2 linked regions of the Canis lupus familiaris genome follow. The protein of the gene in region 1 purifies or fractionates together with the protein of each later gene. This does not show direct contact. Links are inferred from orthologs where the notes say so. Each region holds a gene or a part of one and is shown in the gene's direction. Other genes may lie near its edges.

Evidence for each region. The genes of interacting proteins can lie anywhere in the genome.
Region 2: the proteins of TMEM43 (region 1) and BZW2 purify together in Homo sapiens (affinity purification with mass spectrometry; 3 studies listed by BioGRID and IntAct, counting the BioPlex papers as one, with this or other methods). This does not show direct contact. The link is inferred for Canis lupus familiaris from reciprocal best matches to the Homo sapiens genes TMEM43 and BZW2.

What each region holds. Positions count from the first base shown.
Region 1 is NC_049241.1:4,306,221-4,314,021, forward strand, and holds the start of TMEM43 (transmembrane protein 43), read left to right. Parts: upstream 1-3,144; 5' UTR 3,145-3,341; coding exon 3,342-3,353; intron 3,354-7,375; coding exon 7,376-7,525; intron 7,526-7,801. Other genes in the region: CHCHD4 (mitochondrial intermembrane space import and assembly protein 40), read right to left, coding at 2,772-2,793. UniProt on the Homo sapiens protein: May have an important role in maintaining nuclear envelope structure by organizing protein complexes at the inner nuclear membrane. Required for retaining emerin at the inner nuclear membrane.
Region 2 is NC_049235.1:31,251,791-31,259,106, forward strand, and holds part of BZW2 (basic leucine zipper and W2 domain-containing protein 2), read left to right. Parts: intron 1-791; coding exon 792-962; intron 963-3,296; coding exon 3,297-3,443; intron 3,444-4,794; coding exon 4,795-4,933; intron 4,934-7,316. UniProt on the Homo sapiens protein: Translation initiation regulator which represses non-AUG initiated translation and repeat-associated non-AUG (RAN) initiated translation by acting as a competitive inhibitor of eukaryotic translation initiation factor 5 (EIF5) function.

The sequences.
Region 1 (7,801 bases):
TCTGACTGCTCCCCATCTCCCTTGGCCTGTTTTTTTCCTCCAGTGCTTTTCCTCACCTGATGTTTTACCATATATTTGCTTACCCCTGTCACCCCTATGGAAGTATCAGCTCTTCCTGGGCATGGATTTGTCTCTTCCATTCACTGAAGTATCCCCAGAGCTTAGAACAGTGCCCAGAACATGGTGGGTAATCAAAATGTGTTGAACAAATAAATGTAGAACGGAGAAACCAAACTGAAGACCTCAGCAAAGAACAGGAAGACAGAATCATTACTACCATTCAGTAGATTACAGCAAAACAACCTTGGATGGGTGGTCTCATTGCTCCCAGAAAGGGGAACGGAATACACGGAATCTTTACATGTCAAAATCTTCAGCAGATCCAACCCGGAAAGAGTGCCCATCTCTTCCCCAATGCTAAGAAGCAGATCATGTCATCTGTGCTCACCAGCACCTGCTCAGAGGCTGGCACATCACCGGGGCTCAATAAATGTTTGCTGAGGAACTGGAGAAAGCAGACAGCAATAGAGAAGAGGAAACAAAAAGAAGGACTGGTGTAGCACTGATACTGAAAAGTGTGGGTGGTCTCAGGCCAGGGAGAAAGGAAGAGTCCACACTATGGAACACCTTGGAAGCCAAAGCTTTTAACCCGAAAGCTGGAGGGTGGGGGGTGGGGACCCTTGAAGTAAATTTGCACAGGCAAGTGACTGATTCAGAACTCAGAATGAAGAGCCAGCCGTGGGAATAGCTGAAGGACAGAGGTATCAGGCAAAGTACAACCAAGATGCAAGTGTGGCTCAGCAATGATGGGGTAGTTAGAAATCAGGCTGGAGAGGCACCTGGGTGGTTCAGGTGGTTAAGGTTCTGCCTTGGCTCACGTCATGATCTCGGGGTCCTGGGATGGAGCCCATGCATTGGGCTTCCTGCTTAGTGGGGAATCTGCCGCTCCCTCTCCATCTGCCGTTCCCCCTGCTTGTGCTCTCTCCCCCTCTCAAATAAATAAATAAAATCTTAAAAGAAATCAATCAATCAACCAACCAGTCAGGCTGGAGCCATATAAGGTAGGGGCTTTCAATTCTCATCCCCAAATTAGAGACAGATCTTTGACCCAGAAAAAGATAAAGATCCATGCTTTGGTGGCAGATGGAAACTACCTTTCCTTCCCAAAAAAACCTGACTCCTAGATATCCTTACAGGCAAGGAGAGGTCTTACTCATCTGCATAGCCTCATTATATCTAAAAAGCTCAAAATTATTTGCTAAATGAAGTAAATCAGAAACCCAGAGGAAAAAAAAAAAGAAAGAAAGAAAAAAGAAAAGAAACCCAGAGAAAGAAAATTTTAAAAAAAGAGGTCTACTAACAAAGTGGTGAGGGCAGAGAACTTTTGTTCATGGCACCACTATTTATCACTAAAAATAGTACTCAGGAGAGACATCAGTGAGTATTAGAAAAATATAGTATTATGGCTTTATGACCCCAGAAAGGAGTGGGTCCAAAAGCAGAATGAGGTACTGGGGAAAAAGCTTGACATTTTAGACTGAGCTGTTCTAACAGGATGTATGAAAGACCTTGGGTAGGTCATCTCCTCTGGTCTTCAGATCCCTGAAACAAACTAAGGGAACCAGACTGACTATTCACCAAAGAATTTCTGGGTGAGTTCCAACTCTCTGTGTAGCTTTACTTTCTCATGTGTCCACCATTCCTATCAACAGGCACAGCCAAGATGCCCGTGAGTGATCTGCTAAATGAATGAAGACCAACTTCTCATCTTACAAGACTGGAAACTGGGGCCTGGTTAGATGGCAGCTCAGGGACAGAAAGCTAGTTAGTGGCAGTGTGTGGGGAGGCCCTGGGACTCCTGGGTTCTTCAGCAGAGGTAGGAACAGATGAAGGAAACCGGAGAGAGGTGGGAGGAGATGGGCACTTTGCTGGAGAAGTGGAGGTGGTGGTGGAGGTGATAGAGGTGGTGGGAATGTTTGCTGGAGGTGGAGGTGGAGGTGGTAGAGGTGGAGGTGGTGGTGGAGATGGTGGAGGTGGTGGAGGTGGTGGTGGAGGAGGAGGTGGAGGAGGTGGTGGAGGTGGTAGTGGAGGAGGTGGAGGAGGAGGAGGAGGAGGTGGAGGTGGAGGTGGTGGAGGTGGAGGTGGTGGAGGTGGAGGTGGAGGTGGTGGAGGTGGAGGTGGTGGAGGTGGAGGTGGTGCTGTTCCAGCTGAGAGCTCCTGGAATCCAAGGGGCACCAGACTGGGCGGTGATCAGGACTGCGGCAGCTCGAACCCCAGCTCCAGGGCCGACGGGGTCCGGTGCCTCAGGCGTAGTAGGCGCTCGGTAGATGCACCCGTGGGTGGCACGTTGAGCACTCCTGTACAGCGCGTGCGGAGGAAAACGCGCGACGTGTGGTCAAAAGCGGTAGTAAAAACAATAAATCCCCAATTACAAGCCAGAGAAAGCGGGCTGAGCACTTCCCGTGCCCCCCCCAGTTTACAAGGCTCCCACGTGCCGATCCTACGGAGGTCCGGGTTCGAGGCTCAGAGTGACCTTGGACCAGCCTCATTCCTCCCGGTCTCCGTCCTCTCATTTGCAAGGCGGAGGTGGCGGCCCCACCGCCAGGCCCTCCCAAGGGTCCCGAAGAGGGGGCCCCGGGCCGCGCCTGCAGCCGCCCGCGCCCGCAATGGGGTCGCGGGACGCCGGGGCCTGCACGGCCGCGGGGGGGCAGCCCCGCATGTCCCCTGCAGGCCCTCGTAGGCCGGTCTCCATGGCAGCCCGACCTCCCTACCTTCCTGCCGGCAGTAGGCCATGGCTGCAGCCCCGGGGCTCAGACCTGGCGGCGGTAGCGGTGGTGGCGGCACAGGCGGCAGCGGGCTCACGCGGTGACCTCTTCTTAGGCAGGGCGGGCGGCGCCGAGGCCCACGCGGACCCGCCCCCTCCAGGCCTGCCCGCCGCGCGCCTGCCTCCGCGCCCTCCCAGCCCCAGCCCGGCCCCTCTCAGCCGGGAACTACATTCCCCAGGGATCCGCGCGCGGCTCGGGGCGCTGAGGCAGTAGGAACTACATATCCCTTCATGACTTGCGGTGCGCAGGCGCATCAGTGAGGTCCGCGGCGCGTTGCAGCGTGGTGGCTACGGCGCCTGCCCCGGAACTACATATTCCAGGAGGCCTTGCGGCGCGCTGGAGCGGGAGGGCGGTGGCTCGCGGGCCGGTGACTGCTGCGCGTCCTCCCTGATTCTGGGGTTCACGCGAATTCTCGCAGCTCCGGAGCAGGCGGGAGGCCGCCGGGCTCTGCCCGCAGGCGGCCAGCCCCTCCCGTAGCCGAGCAGAGCGAGGGCGAGCGCCCGGCCGGGTCGCAGGATGGCCGCGAACGTGAGTGTCTCCCGGTCCGCCGGACCCCGCAGGCTTCCCCGCTCCTCGTAGCGGCCGCCGGGGTCCGGCTTGGCGGCCTGGCGCCCTCTGCGGGGCCTTGTCCGGCCGTCCGGGCCGCGCGTTTGCGGGGCGGGGGTCTCAGGAGACGCGGTGGGTGCGCGTCGGGGTCTGTGCCAGGGCCCCTCCCGCAGCCCCTGCGTCGCTCTGGGTTCCCGCCTGGGCCCTTGCGCTCCTCCTGCAGGGGCTGCGGGGGCCGGCGCGACCTCCGAGGAGCCAGGGAAGCCGGGACCGCCCGGGCGGGCCCCATCTGCGGACGGACGGACTGCGGTGTGCGGGCGGCGGTGGGATGCCGCGGGAGGGTGCGGGCGGGAGTGCGCGGAGGACCGGGAGCAGGCGGACCCGCGGCCCGGCCCTTGTGCCCTCGGTGTGTTTGGCTGGAGGGGCCCTGGCCGAAGGTGGTTCCCTGCAGAGGCCTCCTGCCGTGTCTCCCCGCAGCCAGCCTGCCTCGGGGACTTCGCGATGTACGCCCAGCATTCATTCAACAAACCGAGCAGCGCCTCCCACCAGGGTGCTGGGTGTGGGAAGGCTGGTGACTCACCACTCCCCTCCTCTGTGCAAGTGCTTCTGGAGCCAGCCCTGGTGCCCTGCCAGCCCCAGGACACTCCCTCCCTCCTGCTTTGCTGGAGTGGCCTAGCCACTGTCCCCTGGCCTGTTACACCCTCTTTCCAGCCTCTCTAATGTCCCCGAGGGTCCTCCCTGCCCTCCACGCCCCTGGAGAGGCAGGGTTTGTATCACCCACAGCCCTAGGACGCTCCACCTCAGCCAGAGTTGTCTGGGAGACCTAGAAGTCGTGAATGCTGCGCCTAGGAAAGCCTCAGGGGTGGCCCAAGACCCAGGGGCTGCCAGGGGAGAGGACAGTCAGGAGACCAGCCTGCCCCCAGAGGTAGACCCCTGTCTGCCCTCATACAATATTTTACAGATTGAGGATTTGCCCACTAGGCAGGCACTTGCCTGGGGTCTCACAGCCTGCGTGGCCAGCTACTGCATGGGAAGATGCTGAAGAGCGCGGGCTTTGGAGTCAGGCCGACCTGGGAGCAAATCCAGTTTCTTCCTCTGAGAAGCTGTGTGGCCTTAATCACTCTGGGCCGGTGTTTCTTCGTGGGACCTGTTAGTGTGAAGTTTAAGGGAGTCAGCCTGTGACTAGCACAGTGCCTGGTGCAGAGAGGGTGCTTACTTAATGCATGAAAAAAAAAAATCTAGGTTCACAGTCTGCCGCAGATGGCCCTGGTGAGCAGAGACTCTCTTGGGTGTACTGGCACCTGACCTTTGCCAAGGAATGTGTATGAATGTGGGTATCTTCTGCAGCCAAACCTTTGTTGAGTCATCCAGGCACGTTTACAGGAGCCACCAGGCCTGGTGAGGAAGAAAGATCTGAAGGTGGTGGGGTGGTGCAAGGAGGTGGCATGATTTCTTCATCGATGTAACAACAAAACTGCCCTGTGACAGAGGTTCTGTGAACCATCTCCATTTTATAAGTGAGCAAATAGGATCAGAAGGTTAGATAGCAAGTAATACAGGGTAATTTTCAGGGCCTGTGTGTAACCTCTGTTCCATCACTCATTGCTCTTGCTCAGGAGCCTAGAGTGCTCACTGAGGACATGCATATGTATTCAGCACATATCAAGGAGCCAACATCAAGATAAGGGGCTCAGAGGTGGCCTTGAAGGGGGAGAAGAGAGGCACTGGGAAATAGAGTGGGTAGTGAGCTGTGGGTGGAGGAAATCTCTATGATCCTCCATCCCAAGACCATCCATGTTTACTGGATTTTGTTTTGGAATGTGGGCTGAGTGTGTCATGTCAGTGCTCACCTTGCCTGAGCTGCACCCTCCTGTGCCTCTCTTTCTTCCCTTCAAGGTCTTCCATGAGCCGCTCTCCTTGATGTGGCTCCTAGATGTATGCTGAGGGGAGGCCCAGAGTTCTGGAAGTCATGCCCTCTGGCTTCCCAGTTGGGGGCTGCACTGCTAATAGCAGGATGGACTCCCTTTCCTGACACTCTCTGCTGCTGGCTCCCAGCATTCGGCTCTCCTTATAGCCCAAGAAGTGAGGAATGTGGCTTGGAGCACAGTGGTAGAAGAGTGGCCTCTGGTCTGTCCAGATATGAAACCTAATTATCCCTCTTAGAGGCTGGGTGATCTGGGCTGGTGACTTAACTGATAAGCCTTGCTTTTCTCAGCTCTGAAATGGGATAGCGATAGCTTGCCAGTGACTGGCCTGTGATAGACTGGCGTAGTGCCTTCGTCATCATTATGATGGTGGATGGCCACCTACCTGCCTGCAGTGAACCGCTCTATTAACCGTTTCCCAATGGAATTGGAAGTTAGACCATTTCTGAGTGTAATGAACATCTGGTCCCTGCGGGCCTGGGCTGGAGCATTGGGGGACAGTCAGAGATTATGGCATCAGCCTTATTTGGGCAGAGGCTGACCTGAATCTCTCCTCTGGTCCCCCGTGCCAGGTGCTTGGCTCACTCCAAGTGCGCATCTCAGAACCACTGTCCACCTTTGTGACTTCTGTCAGCTTACCCCCAGCCGTGGCACCAGTCTCGGGTGCCCGTTACAGAGAAAGCTGGGAGCATTCCCACCAGCTAGCACCTGTACATTCCATCTTGTGTCCTGGGCACTGAGCTGCCTGATAATTAAGTCCTTTGGTTCTCACCACAACCCTGTGTACTGGATTTTCATCCCATTTTACTGCTGAGGAGATGGAGGGCATAAGAGGGATAATTGCTCACCCAAGGTCTCATAGCCTGAATACAGACCCAGCACTCTGGCTCCAGGATCCCTTGACGATGATACTCAGTCAGCAGTGGACACACCTCAGACCATGCTTCTGTTATCAGCTGGATAAAACCTGACCCACTGACTCTGGAGATTGAGGCCTACCACAAACCCACCTGTGTCTGGTTGCCCTCCTCTCCCTCCACCCTGTGCCTCCCCAAACCCAGCCAGAGCTCTGCTCCCAGAACTACTTCCTGCTTCCTCACCATTGCTCAAACAGATCCCCCTCCGAGGGATGCTTTACGCCAGGGTCTGCCTCTGAGATCCCAATCAAACGCCCCCTCCTCTGGGGAGCCTGCTGAGATCCCCAGCTGGAAGGGGTCACCCATTTAGCCCTGGATCTGCTCCTCACCAAACACTCAGCATGGCCTAGTACCGTGCATGCCTGCAACTCACTGGCCCTGCAGCCTATCTTCCCTTCCCTCACTCCTAGAAGACCCAGCACGGCCCTTGGGAAGCTGAGCCACCGTGTGTTGAATTGAATGAATAACACATGCCTAGTTATGGCTTTGTACAACGGTTTGACAGTTTCATAAAAACACACCTCTTCCCTATGATTCAGCAATCTCACCCCTCTGTGGGTATTCCTTACCTAGTACCCAAGGAAATGAAAGCCCTATGTCTTCACAGAAACTTCTCCAAAAACGTTCATAGAAGCATTGTTCATGATAGCTAAGAACTGGAAGTAACCAAAATACCCACCCACTGGTGAATGAGTTGACAAACGTGGTATACTCATAGGTGCAGCGCTACTCGGCCGCATACAGGAGTGAGCTACTGATACACACCACAGGGTAGATGACCCTCCTCAGAATCTGGACAGAAAGAGTTTGTGGTGTGTGATGGCCCCATTTGTTCCATAAGAGGTCACCTCATCTATAATGATACAAATTCAAATCGTTGTTAACACTAGGGAGTGGGAGAGGAGAGTATTGGCAGGAAAGAGGCACAAAGTAACTTTCTGGGATGATAGGAACAATCCCTATCTTGATCTGGATGCTGGTCAAATGGAGTAAGCATTTGTCAAAGCCTATCAAACCAGATGCTTAATATCTGCATTTTTACTGTATGTAATCGAAACTCGAACCATATGAACAAATAGCAAAATAACAAAATTCAGTTTATTTTTTAAAAAACTAATTTTCATTTTGATTTTTTTTTTTTTTGTAATATTCTTTTTCTCAGTATTCCAGTACGAGTAACAGGAGAGAACATGTCAAAACTACGACCAAGCCCCAGCCAGGCTTCTTGGAGCGGCTCAGCGAGACCTCGGGTGGGATGTTTGTGGGGCTCATGACCTTCCTGCTCTCCTTCTACCTAATTTTCACCAATGAGGTAAAATGTCTAGAGTCCCTCTGTGCAGAGTGAGGGTCCCTGGAGGATAGTCTTCCTAGCAAAGGGTGTGAATCCAGAGGTTGGATGTGGCCTAGATTTTACAACAGGTGGGATGGAGGGGGACAGTGATGGTGCTGAATTAATCAGAATCTTTCTCGTGTGACTTATCTCATAACTGACTTAAGTAGGAAGATGAATGGATCAGTTCACAGGCCTGAAATCCTAAGGTAGGACTAGCTTCGGGCATGGCTGGATCCAGGTGCTCATGTTGGGTCA
Region 2 (7,316 bases), on another chromosome or scaffold:
TTAGACTGCAGCAGTCTGAAAAATGTGAGAGTTTTAAAAACTGTCTTAATATCTTAGTTGGGTGTTAAAGTCACACAGGATTAGAACATGACTAAGTGTTACTGAGACTCTGCCAAGCTGTGTAAGGTAAAATGGAAATGAGGTAAAAATATGCAAGCAGCCATGGTATACTGCTCTCTTTAAAAATTTCCAACAGAATTATGTAATGAACTGAAGAGTTGATAGGGTTGGTTTAGATTAGATCTTGCTGTGACTTAATTTAGAGCCACCATCATTAATAGACAAAAATTTTCTTTCGCTCCAAGCTAGTATTAGAATAATAGCAGCATTTTCTCAGAATGTGAATAGAGGTTCTTGAGATAATAGTCAATGTTGTTTTTCTAATGTTATCTCAAGACATCTCAGCAGTATTAAAACTGGCTTTTGCCTTTTGACTCCTAAGTTATATTATTTGCATTTAATTTAGCAAGTTTACTTCTGTATTCATACATGCTACACTTTGATTAAAGTGAAAGAGATAGTAAATATTGGTTCACAATGAGTGAAGCCAGTTTATATAAGTTGGTTAGCATTTTTTTCTCTTTTTCTATAAAACTGCCTAATTTTAGAAGGTGCTTAGTGAATGCTCAAGAAATATACCCAAGATTTGTTCTTTTGACAATCATCCTTTGTTCTGGTCTTCCAAATATGAGATGGCCTGAGTGCTATTTTAATATGAAAATGTTGTCCTTTATGCTTACTGAAATATGAATAGTTTTTTGTTTAATAGTCTTTGTCCTTTTGTCTTTCAGGAACTCTTTCCAGTTAATAGGCAGAGCGTGGATCATTTTGCTAAATACTTCACTGACGCAGGCCTAAAGGAGCTTTCCGACTTCCTCCGAGTCCAGCAGTCCCTGGGCACCAGGAAGGAGCTGCAGAAGGAGCTCCAGGAGCGTCTTTCTCAGGAATGCCCAATCAAGGAGGTAGGAAACCATCGGCTTGTATCACTGCAAAACACATGAATGGGAGCAGTAACATCATGTGGCACAGACTTGACCTTCCTGAAGGAGACTTCCTTTTTTACTTCTGTGAATTTTATGTATTTGTTTATACCATTTAAACTAGCATAATTGCAAAGTTTTGATTCAGAATCCTCTAGCATGTTCCAGAAATTGATGGTCATTTCCACGCAAGTGATTTATTTTATCAGGCTACTGTGATTAGCCGAATAGTTCATCTGTTAAATAGAGTTGCCATATACACCATTACATATACACCATATACATATGGTGTAAGGTAATATACATATACACCATTATATATACACCATATATACACCATTATATACACCATATACACCATTATAGAGTGGGTTTTCCATTTTATCGCAGATATTATAATATGGCTAAGTATATGGTTAGTATTTGAAATCAACACTGGGGGATCCCTGGGTGGCGCAGTGGTTTGGCGCCTGCCTTTGGCCCAGGGCGCGATCCTGGAGACCCGGGATCGAATCCCACATCGGGCTCCCGGTGCATGGAGCCTGCTTCTCCCTCTGCCTGTGTCTCTGCCTCTCTCTCTCTCTCTCTCTCTCTCTCTCTGTGACTATCATAAATAAATTTTTAAAAAATTTTTTAAAAAATTGAAATCAACACTGGGTATTTCAGGGATCACTGGGTATGAATATGTAGGGGGTTTTTTTATTTTAAGACAAAAAATTTTGATGGTTTTTTAATTTATATCTTGGGAAAAGAGCAGTTGGGCCAGTGGCTTATTTGATCATACTCGCAATAGCTGTGTATCCCTGTAAATGTAAATACTACCTTTTTTTATAATGGTAGTTTGTATAACTGTGACTATATATTTTTAATTTTTAAAAAATTTACCATCTGGGACACCTGGGTGGCTCAACGGTTGAGCCTGTACCTTTGACTCAGGGCATGATCCCGAGATCGAGTCCCTGCATGGAGCCTGCTTCTCCCTTTGCCTGTGTCTCTGCCTCTCTGTGTGTGTGTCTCTCGTGAATAAATAAATAAAATCTTAAAAAAAAAAAAAAAAAAAACTCCCATCTGCAGAAAACCTCCTATCTGAACTTTAACAGTTTTTACATGATAATCCAAAATTAAATCAAGTCCTTTCCTTTTGCCATTCACTTCCAAGTCCCAAATGCTTAGCGCTCTGTGCTCTAAGCCCCACCCGGTACCTTATGTGGCTGGAGAATTCTGGACCAATGCTATCCAGCAGATGGAGGTGTTGTGACAAAAATATTTCTAAGTCTCACGGCATTAAGGTCAGTAATGTATTCAGGAACATTTCTCCAAGTAAGAACTTGAACATGACTTTTCGATGGAGGAAAAAAAAGCAAAACCAACATCATAACACTGATGCTTCTGGATGCAAGGATGTCACCTATCTTGGCAGCTTCCTCCAGCCAGCTCAGGCACTGGGACCTCCCAGTCCCCTCTCTTCTCTAAGGCCACTTAACCCATTTATGACACCAGCCAGGAGGAAAGAAAACTATGATATTCACTGATAAGTGGGGACCAGGCCCGAGAGTTGTGCTATTCACAAAGCAGTAGTATACTTGATAGAGATTATGGTGTTTCATCACTGTCTTTATGATTATATTTCAAAAGGGAAAAGACTTTTCTAAACAAGTTTGATTAAGCTAGGCAGACCTTTTATTCCAGGCCATCTGATTGGAGGATAAATTTGCATATTTAAACATGATTCTAAGGGAGAAAATAACCTGTCTGTTGTTGTTGGATTAATATGTATCATATTAAAAAAATTGCCTCTGCACTTTACAGTTTATTCACATGGGGAATCAGGGTCATCAGAAATAATCATTAAGGAATAAATTATAGTGAATGGACTTGCACAAACCCAAGACATCATTCATCAACGGGTTTAAAGTTGAGAGTTGAGGATCGGAGGAAAAGAGTCCCGGCTCCATCCCCTTGTTTGAAACCCCATGAGAGAATCAAATTGGCCCACGTAATCTGCTCTGCCGGACCCAAGGGGGGTTGCTGCATGTAAAAGAATTAACTCCTAAGGAACAAAGATTCCCTCTTATTTCTTACTACCCAGCAACTCCTGGCCAGAGCTGAGCCTATTAATTTTTGGACTAAAAATAAATCTGCTTCGAGAACACATCATTGTGTTTTTCCTCCCTCTTGTCCTCTGAGAATATGTCCCAGGAAAAGAGGGACTGAGCAGAATATTTATCCACCCAAAACCTTTTACTGACCAGGCACAGTGAGAGGGAGCCTCCTATCTGCCTGTTCCTCTTTGACCCCTTCCTCCCTGAAATGTAGGTGGTGCTCTACGTCAAAGAAGAAATGAAGAGGAATGATCTTCCAGAGACAGCAGTGATTGGACTTCTGTGGACCTGTATAATGAATGCTGTTGAATGGAACAAGAAGGAAGAACTGGTTGCGGAGCAGGCCCTTAAGCACCTGAAGGTACAGACTCAAGAGGGCACAGTCGTGGCTGTAGACCTATGGCAGCTGTCAACTCTACATTTGACACATGGGTTCTAACTGCACTTCACCCAGGTTTAGGCCAAAGATAGATGTCCATTTTTTTTCTTTGATTCTGTTGTTGTTGTGGGTTTATTTTGTTTTGTTTTGATTTCAAATTTGCCATTATCTAAAATGTCTCAGAGGTAAGGGCCTATGAAATATCAAAGAGTAAATTCTTACTAAACACAATGTCGGGGGCACCTTGGTGGCTCCATTAGTTAAGCGTCTGCCTTTGGCTCAGGTCATGACCCCAGAGTCTTGGGATCAAGCTCCGTGTCGGGCTTCCTGTTTAGTGGGGAGTTTCCTTCTTCCTCTCCCTCTGCCCCTCCTCCTGCTTATGCTCTCTTGATCTCAAATAAATAAATAAATAACCTTAAAAAAATAATGTCAGAAATGTCAGAAAATTCACAGAATAATCATATTCAGTATTTAAAGAAAAATATGGCCTATTGTTTTGTTTTTGTTTTTGTTTTTTTTCTTTCTACATGACAAAAATTCTTGGTAATTTTAAGTAGACTACTGATTGGCATTAGAATTTGAGAAGTGTCTGATTGGTCGGAAGTCAATTCATTGTGTAAATTGCATGTTTTTTTCATGGATACATGTTTTTGCTTGTTTACTCCCTATAAACCTATATTAAGATGAGTGAAAGACTTAGATCCTTCCTTCAGAGTTTACATTTGAACTAGTAAGTCAAAAACTACCTAGTAGAAATTAGGTAGAATGTAAATTAAAGAACTCTCAGGGTTTAGAACAGAGCAGTGAGTAAAATCTGCAGGTTAACTTGATCCGGGAGGGCTCCTTGGAGGAAATTTGTGAATGGGGTTAGTTAGGTCTTAAGAAAAAACGGTGGCTATACATCAGGGACCGGAAACCAGGGACAATTGGGACAAAGGAGCAATATGAACAAAATGAACAAAACCACAAAGATGACCTGTGAGGGGGGTCCGGGATGTATGGAAAAGAAAACTCCACACTCCACCAATACCGAATGTGGCCACTCCAAGACCTCACTCTATTTTCTTTTTATAGTGCCCAGTAGATGACGTAGTACATGGCCTTTAATAAAGTCAGAATTTCATATTTGATCTCTTCTTCTTTTAGTGGGTGCTGTGAAGAAATCTGATATGACGCTAAGATAAAAGATAAATTCTGATTGGACACTGTTATAATCCTAAAAATAAATGCTTTCTAAGCAAATCCCCCAGATTCCAGCTGTGATTCAAGTATTGTTGGCCCTGTACTTCCCATGAAAATTAATGGTTGGTCTTATTCCCCACTTCTGTTCCAGCAATATGCTCCACTGCTGGCTGTGTTTAGTTCCCAGGGCCAGTCAGAACTGATCCTCCTCCAGAAGGTTCAAGAATACTGTTACGACAACATCCATTTCATGAAAGCTTTTCAGAAGATCGTGGTTCTCTTTTATAAAGGTATCTGTCCATGTTACTCTACAACGTTTCCATGTTTTGTTGAAGCTCTTTGAGGCCCAGCACAGGGTTGGGGGAGGCAAAGGGGGAAATGGGGTTCATGCTAATTTTTGCAAGTTTTAGTGAGGCAACCATATTATGTGAAAAGAGAAAGTGCAAATGCCATATAGGCATGATTAGGCCCCTGGGCCCATTGCCAGAAGGCTGATGATAAACTGGTTATTATTTTGGGTGGGGAGGGATGGTGAAAAAGACTGTACTAACAAAAAGTAATGAGGTCTGCTTTTGAATTTTAAGGATTAGCTCTAATAACAGTGACTACTGAGGGCTGCCTGTAGTATATTCAGACCTGCTCAGATGCTAAAAAGCTGACTAAAATTACTGAAATAATTAGCTTTTTACTTTGTATTTTAATTATCTGGTCCAGCCATTCTCCTGTTCTTCATGGAAATGATTATTTTTAGAATTTACACTTTACTGTCTTTTCATTGTATTTGGAAGGATTAAGTTGTCATGACAACTAGCACTGCCTTTAATAAGTGAACACTATTAGAATGTTAACTGATCTCATTTTCTATACCTGTAGTATACAAAAAATGATCCTGGGCTATTCTTTGGTCTGAGTTCACATAGTTTTATGGGGGGAAGAAGGAGCACTTAAGAAATGATACACTTTGAACATTATAAAATGATTAACATCAACTAAATGTTTCTTTTCCTTTCTATGCGTTTTTAAATTTGTCTATTTTGAATGATAATTTGGACATGTGGAGTGTAAGAATTTTATATTATTGATTAATAGCTATTTTTAAAATAGCATTTCACAGAGTTCTAATTATCCAGATTCTTCGATGCACATATCTTGGCTACAAGTGTTTGGGTAATATTTTACTTTCTCAGCATGAGGGTATTCAGCACAATTTTTATATCAGTAGGAGTATGTGCTTACACGTCCCATTTGAAGTTCAGTACTTGGTGTGTTTCTCTGGCCAGATCTGAATTAGGTCCTCTTGGACATGGTGTCAGGAGATATTGACGTCCTAAAACTAGGGCTTAGAGGATGCCCAAGGTGACCCATCAGAACCCAACCTGAGGGTCATATGGCTACCCACCTGCGGTACCCAGTAGCCAAGAAAGAGAAACCGTGCACACCCAGCCCGTGGCCACTCTGTCCACACTAACCATTGCTCACTTCACTGTAAGCTGGTAGAGAGAGACCTCTGAGACAGGTTTCACATTTGCTTTGTGAGTGGCCAGGATTATCCCCTACAGAAAAGCAAACTGTTTGTAAACTACTAGCCTAAGCACACAGTTTACTTTCTTGTCACTTAAGAGCTAACCCAACTGAAGCGAACTGGGGGTGGTGGAAGGGGAGGTGGGCGGGGGGTGGTGGGGGTGACTGGGTGATGGGCACTGAGGTGGGCACTTGACGGGATGAGCACTGGGTGTTATTCTGGGTGTTGGCAAATTGAACACCAATAAAAAATGAATTTATATTTAAAAAAAAAGCTAACCCAACTAACCAAATCTTTTTGTAACAGAGACATACTGTTTGAGCCTTATCTGCAGGAGCACTTCATTTTATTAATGAACTTGATTTTCACACACACACACACACACACACACACACACACACACATATACACGTACTACTCTGTCAGTAATGGCATCTATTAAAATTCTTTTTCAGATTTCTCATTTTAACCATTAATGTCAACATTCTTTCCCACTGTACTCCTTATAACATCTATTGACAACAAAACTGGATGCTTTGAGTGATTTCTTATTCTTCATCTCCACATGCAAAAAAACAGAGACCTGGAATTACAAAATTAACAGAGAAGTGGATACCAAGAAGAAAAAAAAAAAAAGCAATAGCTCTTCCTAAGGCCATTAATTAACTAGGTGGTCAGGTTTTAAGTAGTTAAAAGTCAGGTCTGTGGAAAGTATGAGCGAACCCAAGGGAACACAGGAAGGTGTCAACGTCAGTTTTATTATGGCTTAGTTATTTTCGTGAATGAAATCAGGAAACCATAAAATGGAAACCGAAAATACATCACTGAGGAATGAAAACTAAGTGTTATTTCCTAGGTAGTTTCATAATTTCCCACAAAATTATACAGATAGGCTATTATACTGGATGAAATAATTAGATTTTTTTTTTTCCTCTTGGAAACATGGAATCCCCGAGGAATGATCTTTCCACCCTACTATTAAGAGTTAGTGTTTACCTTCTTACCTTTTTTTGGATAGTGGTTTTTTATTCGACCTAATTTTATCCAACAAACATCTGTGCACCAGGAAATGTACATTTTTTGTTTTACGAGGACTTGGATATTCTTATTCTGTATTTCATATGCCTCGAAATGCTTCAGGAATAGTGTGT